Linked DNA regions of Callithrix jacchus. The protein of the gene in region 1 purifies or fractionates together with the protein of each later gene. This does not show direct contact. Links are inferred from orthologs where the notes say so. Each region holds a gene or a part of one and is shown on either strand. Other genes may lie near its edges.

Region 1 (3,749 bases):
ACATTTAAAAAGCAGTGATTGCAAACACTGTACTTTAGGAATATGCATACTGAGTGTGTAGGGAAAACACATGCAAGTGTGCAATTTACTTCAAATAAAGCAGAAATGTAACAAACTTTTAAGGGTTTTTTTCGAGACGGAGTCACCAGGCTGGAGTACACTGGCACGATCTCAGCTCACTGCAACCTCTGTCTCCTGGGTGTAGGTGATTCTTCTGCCTCAGCTTCCTGAGTAGCTGGGACTAAAGGTGTGTGCCACCACGCCTGGCTAATTTTTGTGTTTTTAGTAGAGACAGGGTTTCACCATACTGGCCAGCCTGGTCTCAAACTCCTAACTTCGTGATCAGCCCACCTTGGCCTCCCAAAAGTGCTGTAATTACAGGCATAAGCCACCGCTCCCAGCCCTCAAGTGGTTTTTGTGGGCATTAACTGTATAATTCAACCTTCCTATGTGCTTAAACTTTTCAAAAATAAGATGTTGAAGAAAAAAAGTAGGCACTGAGGTTTCGGGAGAGACTACCTACCACGTAAGACTACCTACGTTTAAGTTTAGCAAAACGCCTGGACTGCAGCGTGTGCTCAAATAATGGTAACAAATTACTCAAAACAAACTGCTAATAAGCTATGGGCTCTATTTCAGAGGGACTGCTGCCTTCAGTATTTCCAGCCAGGTCTGCACAAGCTGCATGAGTTTTTAAGTAAAGCTCTCAGGATGTGAGTCTCAGCTACTTCTGTCTCACCTTCTCCAACCAACAGCCTGTACGTAAGCAGGGCACAGCACACTAATGGGGTTCTGGTTTCCCCATGCAGAAATGCCAGTGCTGAAAACGTGTTCTGACCAAGAAAGAAGAGCACCTGGCTTTGAGCTGTCAAATGAGTCATGGAGGGCCGAACATCACCTTTGCTGCTCTTGTCCAGGGCATAGTGTTTTGCCTCAGAACAGTGATGTTCTGCAGACACCCAGCAGGCAGTGCCCGGTATGGCTGGTGTCCTTGGACAAACAGTGAGTATCAGAGTATAATTCCCAGTCTGGAGCCAGGAGGCCTGGGTTTGATTTGAAGTTTTACTGTGCAATTTTGAACAGGTCACTTATCGTTTTTCAAGTTTCTCATCATCAATATGGAGACAACTACAGTTCCAACCTTACAGTTATGCAGGGCATTAATCAAAGGCTCAATACATGTGAGAAGCAAGGGTTTTATCTTCACGTCCAGAGGCTCCTTCCCCCCCCCCAGACACTTGTCTCCAAAGTCCCACGTAATTTCTGAACTCTCTGCAGGGCTCCCGCACCCACCCACCTTAGGATCATCTGCAGCAGCACTGTCCAACAGAAATAGTGTGAGGAGCCACAAGCAGAATCTCAAATTCCTTAGTAGCCACGTCACAAAAATGGGTGAAATTAATTAACATTTGACACAAATCCAAAATACTTTTCCATCAAATAATCAACATAAAAATCTAAAGGTTTCTTTTTTTGTTGTTGTTCAGAGTAAGTCTTCTAAATTTGGGGTGTGTTTTAACATCTCAGTTTTGATTAGCTGCTGTATTTCAACATGCTCAGTAGCCACGTGGGGCCAATGGCTACCTCACTGGACAGCACAGATCTAGAGTGCAGGTCACACCCGCATATTCCAGCCCCACCCCCTAGTCCTAAAGATCTGCCCAAATGTACTCTGTGAAATCAAACACCGCTACTTTGATTCGCTTCGTGAGATCAAGGAGCACCGTTCTTAAGCACTCTAAGAACCACTGAGAAAGCGGACGCTTTGCTGGGTGCGGTCGAATGCTAGAAAGCAAAGGTTGAGGTTCTCTGTTCACACAAGTTCAGGTACCGGCTCAGGACCTCGGTTACCTCCCCCATCCTCCGGAAAGGTGCGCGTCCAACAGCCAGAGAGAGGAGAGAACAGTTAGTTAAATCTCGAGGAGAGGGCGTTTCGGCACAAATCTTCAGAGCGCCTTCCCCATTTAAAAGTACATTTCAGGCACAGTTCATGCGAAATCAAGACAAAAAGCCTACTCCACGTTTCTCCTCCAGCAACCTTAACCTTCCCGTATCCACCCCTCCGGGGTTAACCCATCAAACGGGGCCAGGCCACCGTGCTCGGTCCATAGCGGGCCACATCCCCCAGGCCTAGCGCCGAGAACTGCACACGGGAGCCCGGGAAACGTTCGCGGAGTGCATGTTTGAATCAATGCCTCCGATGGGGGGATCGGCCAGCCTTCCACTGTATCCCACAAAGAAACTCCGCGCCCGCCGGCACCGGCCCGACACGCCGACCTCGCCGCTCCCCGTCCGCGTTCACTCACAACTCCCTTGTCCAGGCGCCGGGCCGCGAGCGCTTCTAGGGCAGGGCCTGGCGTTGGGGGCCTGGGTCTCCGGCACGGCAGGAGGGCCCCAAGGGCGGAAGCCGCGCTCCCCGCTGCTCAGAGTCCCACGGGCCTGGCTGGGCCGCCGCCGAACGGACGAAGCAGAGGCGCCCTTCCGTCCGCCGCGGCCCCGACCACTTCCGGGCCACGGCCACGACACCTCCCACCCCGCCCACCCCGGGCTACACTCTTTCTTTTTAGAGTCCGCACCGCGCCGCCATGCTGCCGCCGCACTGCGGGGCTGGGGAGTGGACCAGCTTCACGATGCTTCCTGCCGGGCCTGACTGGCAACCCCTAAAGCTCGGATGCGGTCGGATTCCGCCCCACTTACATCTTCCCGCCGCCGACACCTCCTCCTGCCTTTCTCAGCCGCTCAAGCCGGCTCCGCTCTGACGTCAGAGTTAAGGAGCGGGAAGACGCTGCCGTCCGGCGCGCAGCGATGACGTAAATGCCTGGGCCAATGGGCGCGAGCGGTGAAGTGTTCAGAGAGTCAAGGCGGCGTGTGTGAGCCGCGTTGGAGCGCTCGCGGTGTCTCCCCGCCGGCGGTGTGTCCCGGCCGGAGGAGTCTGTGACTGGCCGGGCCGGTTGCACGCTTGCTGCAGCGGGCACAGGGGTAGCCTGCTGAGGCTGGTAGGGCCGCGCGATGACCGAGGCTCGTCGTCTGGCGCGGAGGGGGTTAACGCGGCCGTGCCCAGTCCCTTTCCTTGCGCGGGTGCTCTGGGCCCGCCTAGGCCTCCTCCGGCCCCCGACACCGGACGCTGGGCCCCGGGCCCGGCCGCGCGGCGGCGGCGGCGGGGTAGTCGTACAAGAAAGGCGCGCGGGCTCTGCGGCTTTGCTTGGCGCGACGTGGGGACCCGCAGGGTGGAGGCAGCTCGGAGAGATGGGCCGGGGCCGGGCGTGCGTTCGCGTGCTCCAGACCTACCGGTGGCGTTTGGGGTGCCCGCGTGGACGCGGCCTCCACGCAGGTGGAGCTCCGCCGGGTGGGCGCGGCAGCTGGGCAGTGTGGGCAGGAGGAGCGACGAGTTTGAGGGTAGGAGATGGGGTGCACAGGGGGGCGTCTGGGGGTGGTGGCCCTGCCGCGGAGACCCGAGAGGAACGGTGCGTGTGACGGGGTAACAGCAGGGGCCGAGGTTCTCTGGAAGCGGGGAAGGTTCCGCGCGAGCTTCGCGGCGGCAGCACGGAGCGTGTGAACGGCGCAGCGCCGAGGCTTCATTCAGCTGCGGGTGCGGGGTCCCGGCAGGGAGAGCCCAGAGGTGGCGGCGCCTCTGGCTGGGACATGGGAGAGGGTGACGCCGTAGGGGCGCAGGCCCAGACACAGGCGGGAGGCTCCGCACTGGCGCCCCAGACGGAGAGGGCAGGTTGTGTTCACTGCTGCGCCTGGCG
Region 2 (3,322 bases), on another chromosome or scaffold:
CACCTCCCAGAGGGACTTCTGGGTGACACTCTGATAGGGAAGCCATAAAACCCTATAAAAGTCTTTGCTAAAGTAAATAAGTCACTCCTTGCTCTTCCCAGCCAGTGTTCTGTGTGTCTGCTATCTGGGTTTGTGTTCTTTAAATCAGTTTATCTAACACCAGGCAATTAAGAATACCACAAGGCTTAAAAAACAATCAGGTTATCAGAGTATGAAATTATTCCGTTTGGCAACTGAGACAAACCCACACAGCTGCCTGGAGTGGAGGGTTCCTCATGTTGGCTCCGATGCCTCTGGCTCCAGGGGAGGTGACCCTGAGGAGAAGGTGGCAGCAGCGCAGAGTCCCAGGCCTGCCAGTGTGCCCAGCAGCCAGCTCCCGCCGTCCTTTCTCTAGCAATGGGTGGGGGTGCCATGTATATTCTCACCTGGCCTCTTAATAGTCCAGCATGGACGTTTTTGGGCCTGGTTTTCAGGCGTTTATGTGTCTGGCAGGCACAGTAGTGTGAGAGCTGTGGGCTGCAGGCCCAGGCCCTGGCGCTGCCTGGAGCCTGCGGTCTCAGTGCTCACTGGGATTGCTGCTGGTGGCCGGGTGAGGCAGGATGATCCAGCAGGTGTCTCAGGGAGGAGCTGAAACTGCGTAATTTACCCTCATCAAAGTTGTAATTCAGTTATTTGTCAGGTTTAGTTTCATCTCCTTATATTTGACCCTGATTTTAAGGATTTTGAAGATCTTTCTTTGTGTGAATTTTTTGTTTTAAGAAATTCACTCAACTGGGGTTGCTGCTGGGGTTGGGCGTGGTGGCTCACGCCTGTAATCCCAGCACTTTGGGAGGCCGAGGTGGGTGGATCACGAGGTCAAGAGATCGAGACCATCTTGGCCAATATGGTGAAACCCCGTCTCTACTGAAAATACAAAAAATTAGCTGGGTATGGTGGTGCATGCCTGTAATCCCAGCTACTTGGGAGGCTGAGGCAGGAGAATCACTTGGACCCAGGAGGCGGAGGTTTCGGTGAGCCAAGATTTCGCCATTGCACTCCAGCCTGGGCAACAAGAGCAAAACTCGGTCTCAAAAAAAAAAAGAAACAACTTGAGCCAGGCATGGTGGCTCACACCTGTAATCCCAGCACTTGGGGAGGCCGAGGCAGGCGAATCACGAGGTCAGAAATTCGAGACCAGCCTGACCAACATGGTGCAACCCCATCTCTACTAAAAATACAGAAATGAGCTGGGCGTGATGGTGGCACCTACAGTCCCAGCTACTCGGGAGGCTGAGACAGGAGAATCGCTTGAACCCGAGAGGCAGAGGTTCCATTGAGCCAAGATTGCGCCACTGCACTCCAGCCTGGTGACAGAGCGAGACTCCGTCTCAAAACAAAAAAAGAAAGAAAGAATTTGGTTAGATTGGTGAAGGATGGCTTCAAGTTAATCTGGGGTAATTTCCTGATCAGCCCAGGCCTTGTTCCTCAGGCCTTCCTGAGTGGAGTGCAGGGCCGCCGTGTCAGGAATGAGGCTGATGGCCCTGGAGCCCTTCCCCTTCCCAGGGCACCCTCCTGTAGCCACTCACTCTGGGTTCCCACTCGTCTTCGGAACAGGCTGTTTTGGAGTGAGCGGAAGATCACCAAGGCCAGGGAGTGGTTCCACCGCACTGTGAAGATCGACTCGGACCTGGGGGACGCCTGGGCCTTCTTCTACAAGTTTGAGCTGCAGCATGGCACTGAGGTGAGGCCTTCTGGGACTTTGGCGGGGACTTCCACCAGCCCTGAGGGCTCTAGGAGGTGGCCAAGGCCAGCGTGACTCTGCCCGGGTTGGGAGGATAGACAGGGTGGGTGGGGCACGGAATCCTTGACACCTCCCCACGAGGCAGTCTCTGTCTCTACATCCGTTTTCTGGTTATAGCCTCACAGCCCCACACGCTGGAATTGAGGTGCTCAGTCCCTTGCAATGGCCTGTCTGCTGGCGCATTTTAATGAGTTATTTGTTGGCTGGGGCCTGTGCTCACCTTAGGAATGGGAATGGAGTTGGCCTTTCTCTTGGGGCTGAGCCTGGGTGTGGCTTTCTGGGAGAGCCTCGACAGCAACTCCCTCTGCTCCCACTTGTTCCCCTGGAGCCAAGCATTGTCAGAGCTGTGCTGGAGGGCAGGCAGGCTGTCCTCGTCCTCCCTGGAAAGTGGTGCCAGCCCATGTGAAGCCTGACTCCTTGTTTGGAGAAGGCATACGTGAGCACTTGTGTGAGACACAATTGGGAGTCCATGCTCCTCAGGAGGGGCTCCTTTGAGGAACACACCTGGAAGAGCTTTGCCTTCTGGTGCAGGGCCTGTGCCCCCTCACCTGCCACTTGGGGTCAGTACTGCCAGAGCCAGGTCTGCCTGGGGGCAGGTGGGGAGTGGCCTGGGAGGGCCCTTGCCTGAAGTGCCCTGTGGTCCCACCAGGAGCAGCAGGAGGAGGTGAGGAAGCGCTGTGAGAGCGCAGAGCCTCGGCATGGGGAGCTGTGGTGTGCCGTGTCCAAGGACATCGCCAACTGGCAGAAGAAGATTGGGGAGGTCCTTAGGCTGGTGGCCGGCCGCATCAAGAACACCTTCTGATTGGCCGGTCTCCATGGACAGGGCTTGGGCTGCACGGGGGAGGGCGTGTGGAGGGCTCTGGGCTGTGTCCTCCTTCATTATCATCCTCCATTAAAAGTTTTTATGTCTTGTGTCAGAGTGGGCGGCCTGCTGGTTTTCTCTGGGGCTCTTCCCTGGCTCCTGCTTCTGCTGCCCCAGTTGGGCCTGTCCTGGCCTGTCCCATGCTGTCCTGGGGTGGTTGCAATTGTCCTTGCTTGGGCAGAAGCCTCTTGCAGACAGCCAGTGTCTCACAGAGGAGACATTGGAGGTGCTGGGGTTCCCCAAGACTGTGGAGAAGGTGGTGGGGTGCAGATATTCCAGGTGAAAGCCATGTGTGCGGACAGCTGGAGACAGTGGGGACCGAGCTGTGTGCAGGCCAAGGTGCTCACAGGAGCCTGGCAGCTGCCTGCAAGAGTTTGGTCAGGGGACAGCTGGGGCTTCCCTGTGGTCTTGAGTGGTCCCTGCAGCTTTTTGGAACAGTAGAGGTCAGCTCGCCCAGGGTCTCTCCACACTGCCTCCCAGGCCTCTCAGGCACATGTTCAGTGGCAGTGTCACCAATAAGAGGTGTTCTTACTTTTGGAGATGAGTTTATTTTTGCCAATTTATCATTAGCAGTTAAACCCCTAAAGCACTTGTAACTGAAAGTTGTATTACCTGGGAGACATGGCTTCTTTTCAGCCTTAGCTGTGTGAGGATGAAGGACTTCCTCAGGCTTGGATCCT
Region 3 (3,649 bases), on another chromosome or scaffold:
GATGCATGGAAGAACTGTAAATTCCCATAAAGCTAATCTATTCATTGACCCCCACCATTATGATAGAGATCATATGGTGACTAATGCAAGATGAAACTCTCAGCTTGGAAAGTAACAAGGAATAGGATGTAAGTATGAGCTTCTGTTTTTTATTATATTTATGGATGCCCCCTCAGAAAAATATGCAAAGGGGTAACTGGCTTGGAAATGGGTGTTTATGCCTAGTAAATCCCACTCACGAGTTTTGCCTATTTGAAGCTTCTCTCAATGACAGTGCATCTGTGAATGTTCGCTGGTGTTGAAAATGATGCTTTTGGACGGTGCAATGCAAACACTGCATGAAATGTATTTTGATGTTAGAGGTAATAAGGTGTTGCTGATTCTTACTGATAGACTGAGAGATCTTTACTCAGTGTAATGTTAAATGTTCATTTTCTGTTTTATTCTTACATTTTCCCATTGCTTTCAAAATCTCAAATTCACATATAATGCCAATGAACACATATTATCCAGATGCCCAGCCCTCACTCACATACACAGTGCTTTTTCAAGAATTAAATGTGTCTAAAAGCACAAACAATTCTCCCAAAATTAATTTTGAGAGTTGAAAAAAGGTGGTCTGTGGGAAATCACTTTAGATGAATCATTTTGGTTAGGTATAATACTGAAATTCAGGACTGAGTAAGCTTAAAAATGGTATATGATTGTGTGTGTGGTTTACCCCCTTTTTGTTTTTATTTATTTGTTAAACTCTGTCATGTTATTGGTAAATGATGAGAAAATCACGTTTTAAGAAAAATTTAAAAATATATTTGCTTTAAAGTTTGAGAATCTGTTCGGCATTTCACTGCCTTAGTATTATTCAGTGGAGGAAATGTTTTGAATTTTCAGAATGTCTTTTAAAAATAAAAAGAAATCAAAATGAAAAACCAAAAAGTTTTTTTTTTTTTTTTTAAATTGGGTGGTTTGGCTAAAAGGGTTGTTTGAAACTCCAGTAACAAAAAATGAGCTCAGTGAACCTTTGCATGTTTTGGTATGAGTTTATTAAATAACCACAGACTGTCAGGGTATCAGCGTGGCAGGGGGCGTCCATTTACAGCACGGATGAGTCTGAAGAGAGAATAAGGTAAGATTTATGATTTTTTAATCTGTCCTTTTTCCTTCATTACTTTCTTACATAATTTTAGATTCGCCTCACTTCCTTTCTCCAGTCTTTAAAAATATACATGTATATGTTTACATGTATTACATATATTTATATATGTGTGTGTGTGTGTGTGTGTGTATATAAAATATGTAAACTTTTAGGAAACATTTAATATGGACTGGATTCACTCACTTTTTCATTACTTAGAACCAAACTTTTGAAATGAGTTCTGAAACAAATGGTTATTTATATAACTGAATATAAGTAGCACAGTGAAATAAGAATTAAAAATTGAGGAATTCTACAAGAAAAATTAATATTGGAACAGCTAAAATATTCTGTAAGTATCTATTTCAGAAATAAACAAATTTCTTTATAAGTGTATGCCATTGAGGTAAGTTTTATATAGTCTAGCCTCATTTTACAATATAAATTTTTATATTCATTAGAACTGTTTCAGAAATGAGATTTTCCCCCTTTAATAGCTGTCAGTTTCTGTCTTCTTTCTATCATTTCTCATTTCATTCCTTTGTAATTTCAATGTATTCAGTTTTGGCTTTGCCTGCATTCTACTACTTTGATATAGAGCGGCACAGCAACTGAATATATTGCTCATACATTAGCTTCTCTTTCATAATCTGCTATCAGTTCTCTGATCCATGAGGAAGAGAAAAAGAGTATCTGACAGGTAAGATTGCTTTTTAAAGTTGTTTTAAATGCATTACATGACTGAGAAAAGAAAAATGCACATTTTATTGTTGCAGTTTAAATTTCATATTGGTGAAACTAAACATGAAACAAAAGGGATAAATGTGTTTTGTTGTTGTACCTGTTTGGGATATTTTTTTCTGAGTTTGTGTAGAAACCGTGTGGTACACTGGTAATCTTGTCAGGGTACAAACTTGGTCTGACTTTGTTATTTGGTTTATTTGTGAACCATGTACTTGCTCTTCCTCCCAGAAACATAGCTTGTAGGGAAGGTTAATCCAGTGTTGGCGATCCATGTCCTAGCACAGCATCTGTAAGTTAATGCACAATCGTTCCTTCCAAGGATGGATTTATCATTGTAAATATATTTTTATTGTCTTACAGGCATAATGGGTATAAGTATATTGCTTTTAAATATTTTAAATGAAACTATTACAGTTACATATATTTTGCTTGAAGTGAGTGATTTTCAAACTTTTTGTATTGTGTGGGCTGTCCATCTTGTAATGGTGGGAGTAAATGTTTCCACAGATAATAAGGCAGTTCTTGGTTGAATTCAGCTTGTGTTTCTTTTGGAGGGTGGGCAAATCGGAGGGCAGAGATTATTTAGTTGGATTATGGGTATTCTGCACCACCTGCCCTTTGAAACCCTCAACTTTAGGTAATATGCAGTCTGGGGTTATAATTAGTATTAATTAATTTGTGGCTTTACAGAAATCCATAATGGACAGAGTTGAGTTTTACCCAAGTGATTGTATTTATAGAAAATATTTTGAACCACTTTCTTCATGGTCATTTTAGTTAGTACATAGTCATTGAGTGGCCAGCCACACCTGACACGATCTCCCAGCATCCAAGATTGGAGATTCCTGGTCTGTGTAGAGTATATGGTTTTGCACGAAATCTTTCTAGTCTTGTGATTGCTTCAGTTTAATTTGTCACATAAAACCACAAGTATTTAATATTAATATATCAGTGGTTTGGTGTTTTTGTTCCCAGTATTGGGGATTGCGCCGGGAAATATCTGAATACTGGAGCTACAGAGTTAACTCTAAAAGTGCTTTTATTGGTTTCTAGAAACTGGAAGAAGAGAAAGGCAAAAAGGAAAAAGAAAGACAGGAAATTGAGAAAGAACGGAGAGAAAGAGAGAGGGAGCGTGAAAGGGAACGAGAAAGGCGAGAACGGGAACGAGAAAGGGAAAGAGAACGTGAACGAGAAAAGGAGAAGGAACGGGAGCGGGAACGAGAACGGGATAGGGACCGTGACCGGACAAAAGAGAGAGACCGAGATCGGGATCGAGAGAGAGATCGTGACCGGGATCGAGAAAGGAGCTCAGATCGTAATAAGGATCGAAGTCGATCAAGGTAAGGCTTTACAGAAGTCACTGTTTCCTGATAGCTTTAATAGAACTACCAGGTAGTCTTCCAGAGTACCATTTGCATTCATGAAATGAGAGAATCTTTTTGTGTGTGAGACATTCTTACTCTGTCATATAGGCTGGAGTACAGTGGCAAACCTTGGCTCACTGCAGTCTCTGCCTCCTGGGTTCAGGTGATTCTTATTGCTCAGCCTCTCAAGTAGCTGGGATTACAGGTTTGTGCCACCATGCCCAGCTAATTTTTTTGCATTTTTGGTAGAGATGGGGATTTACAATATTGATTAGCCTGGTTTCGAACTCCCAGCCCCAAGTGATCCTCCTGCCTCAGCCTCTCAAAGTGCTGGGATTATAGGCGTGAGCCACTCTGCTCAGCCTGAGAATTTTTTTAAAGACAACATGTCTTTGTCTCTCTCTCT

The links.
Region 2: the proteins of RNPS1 (region 1) and PRPF6 purify together in Homo sapiens (co-immunoprecipitation; 3 studies listed by BioGRID and IntAct, with this or other methods). This does not show direct contact. The link is inferred for Callithrix jacchus from reciprocal best matches to the Homo sapiens genes RNPS1 and PRPF6.
Region 3: the proteins of RNPS1 (region 1) and RBM25 purify together in Homo sapiens (affinity purification with mass spectrometry; 3 studies listed by BioGRID and IntAct, with this or other methods). This does not show direct contact. The link is inferred for Callithrix jacchus from reciprocal best matches to the Homo sapiens genes RNPS1 and RBM25.

The regions. Positions count from the first base shown.
Region 1 is NC_133513.1:4,501,922-4,505,670, reverse strand, and holds the start of RNPS1 (RNA-binding protein with serine-rich domain 1), read right to left. Parts: upstream 2,758-3,749; 5' UTR 2,700-2,757; coding exon of another isoform or gene 2,698-2,699; exon of another isoform or gene 117-2,697; intron 1-116. Other genes in the region: uncharacterized protein LOC144578542, read right to left, coding at 2,849-3,749. UniProt on the Homo sapiens protein: Part of pre- and post-splicing multiprotein mRNP complexes. Auxiliary component of the splicing-dependent multiprotein exon junction complex (EJC) deposited at splice junction on mRNAs.
Region 2 is NC_133506.1:59,507,714-59,511,035, forward strand, and holds the end of PRPF6 (pre-mRNA-processing factor 6), read left to right. Parts: intron 1-1,593; coding exon 1,594-1,720; intron 1,721-2,429; coding exon 2,430-2,582; 3' UTR 2,583-2,697; downstream 2,698-3,322. UniProt on the Homo sapiens protein: Involved in pre-mRNA splicing as component of the U4/U6-U5 tri-snRNP complex, one of the building blocks of the spliceosome.
Region 3 is NC_133509.1:108,087,298-108,090,946, forward strand, and holds part of RBM25 (RNA-binding protein 25), read left to right. Parts: intron 1-2,932; coding exon 2,933-3,219; intron 3,220-3,649. UniProt on the Homo sapiens protein: RNA-binding protein that acts as a regulator of alternative pre-mRNA splicing. Involved in apoptotic cell death through the regulation of the apoptotic factor BCL2L1 isoform expression.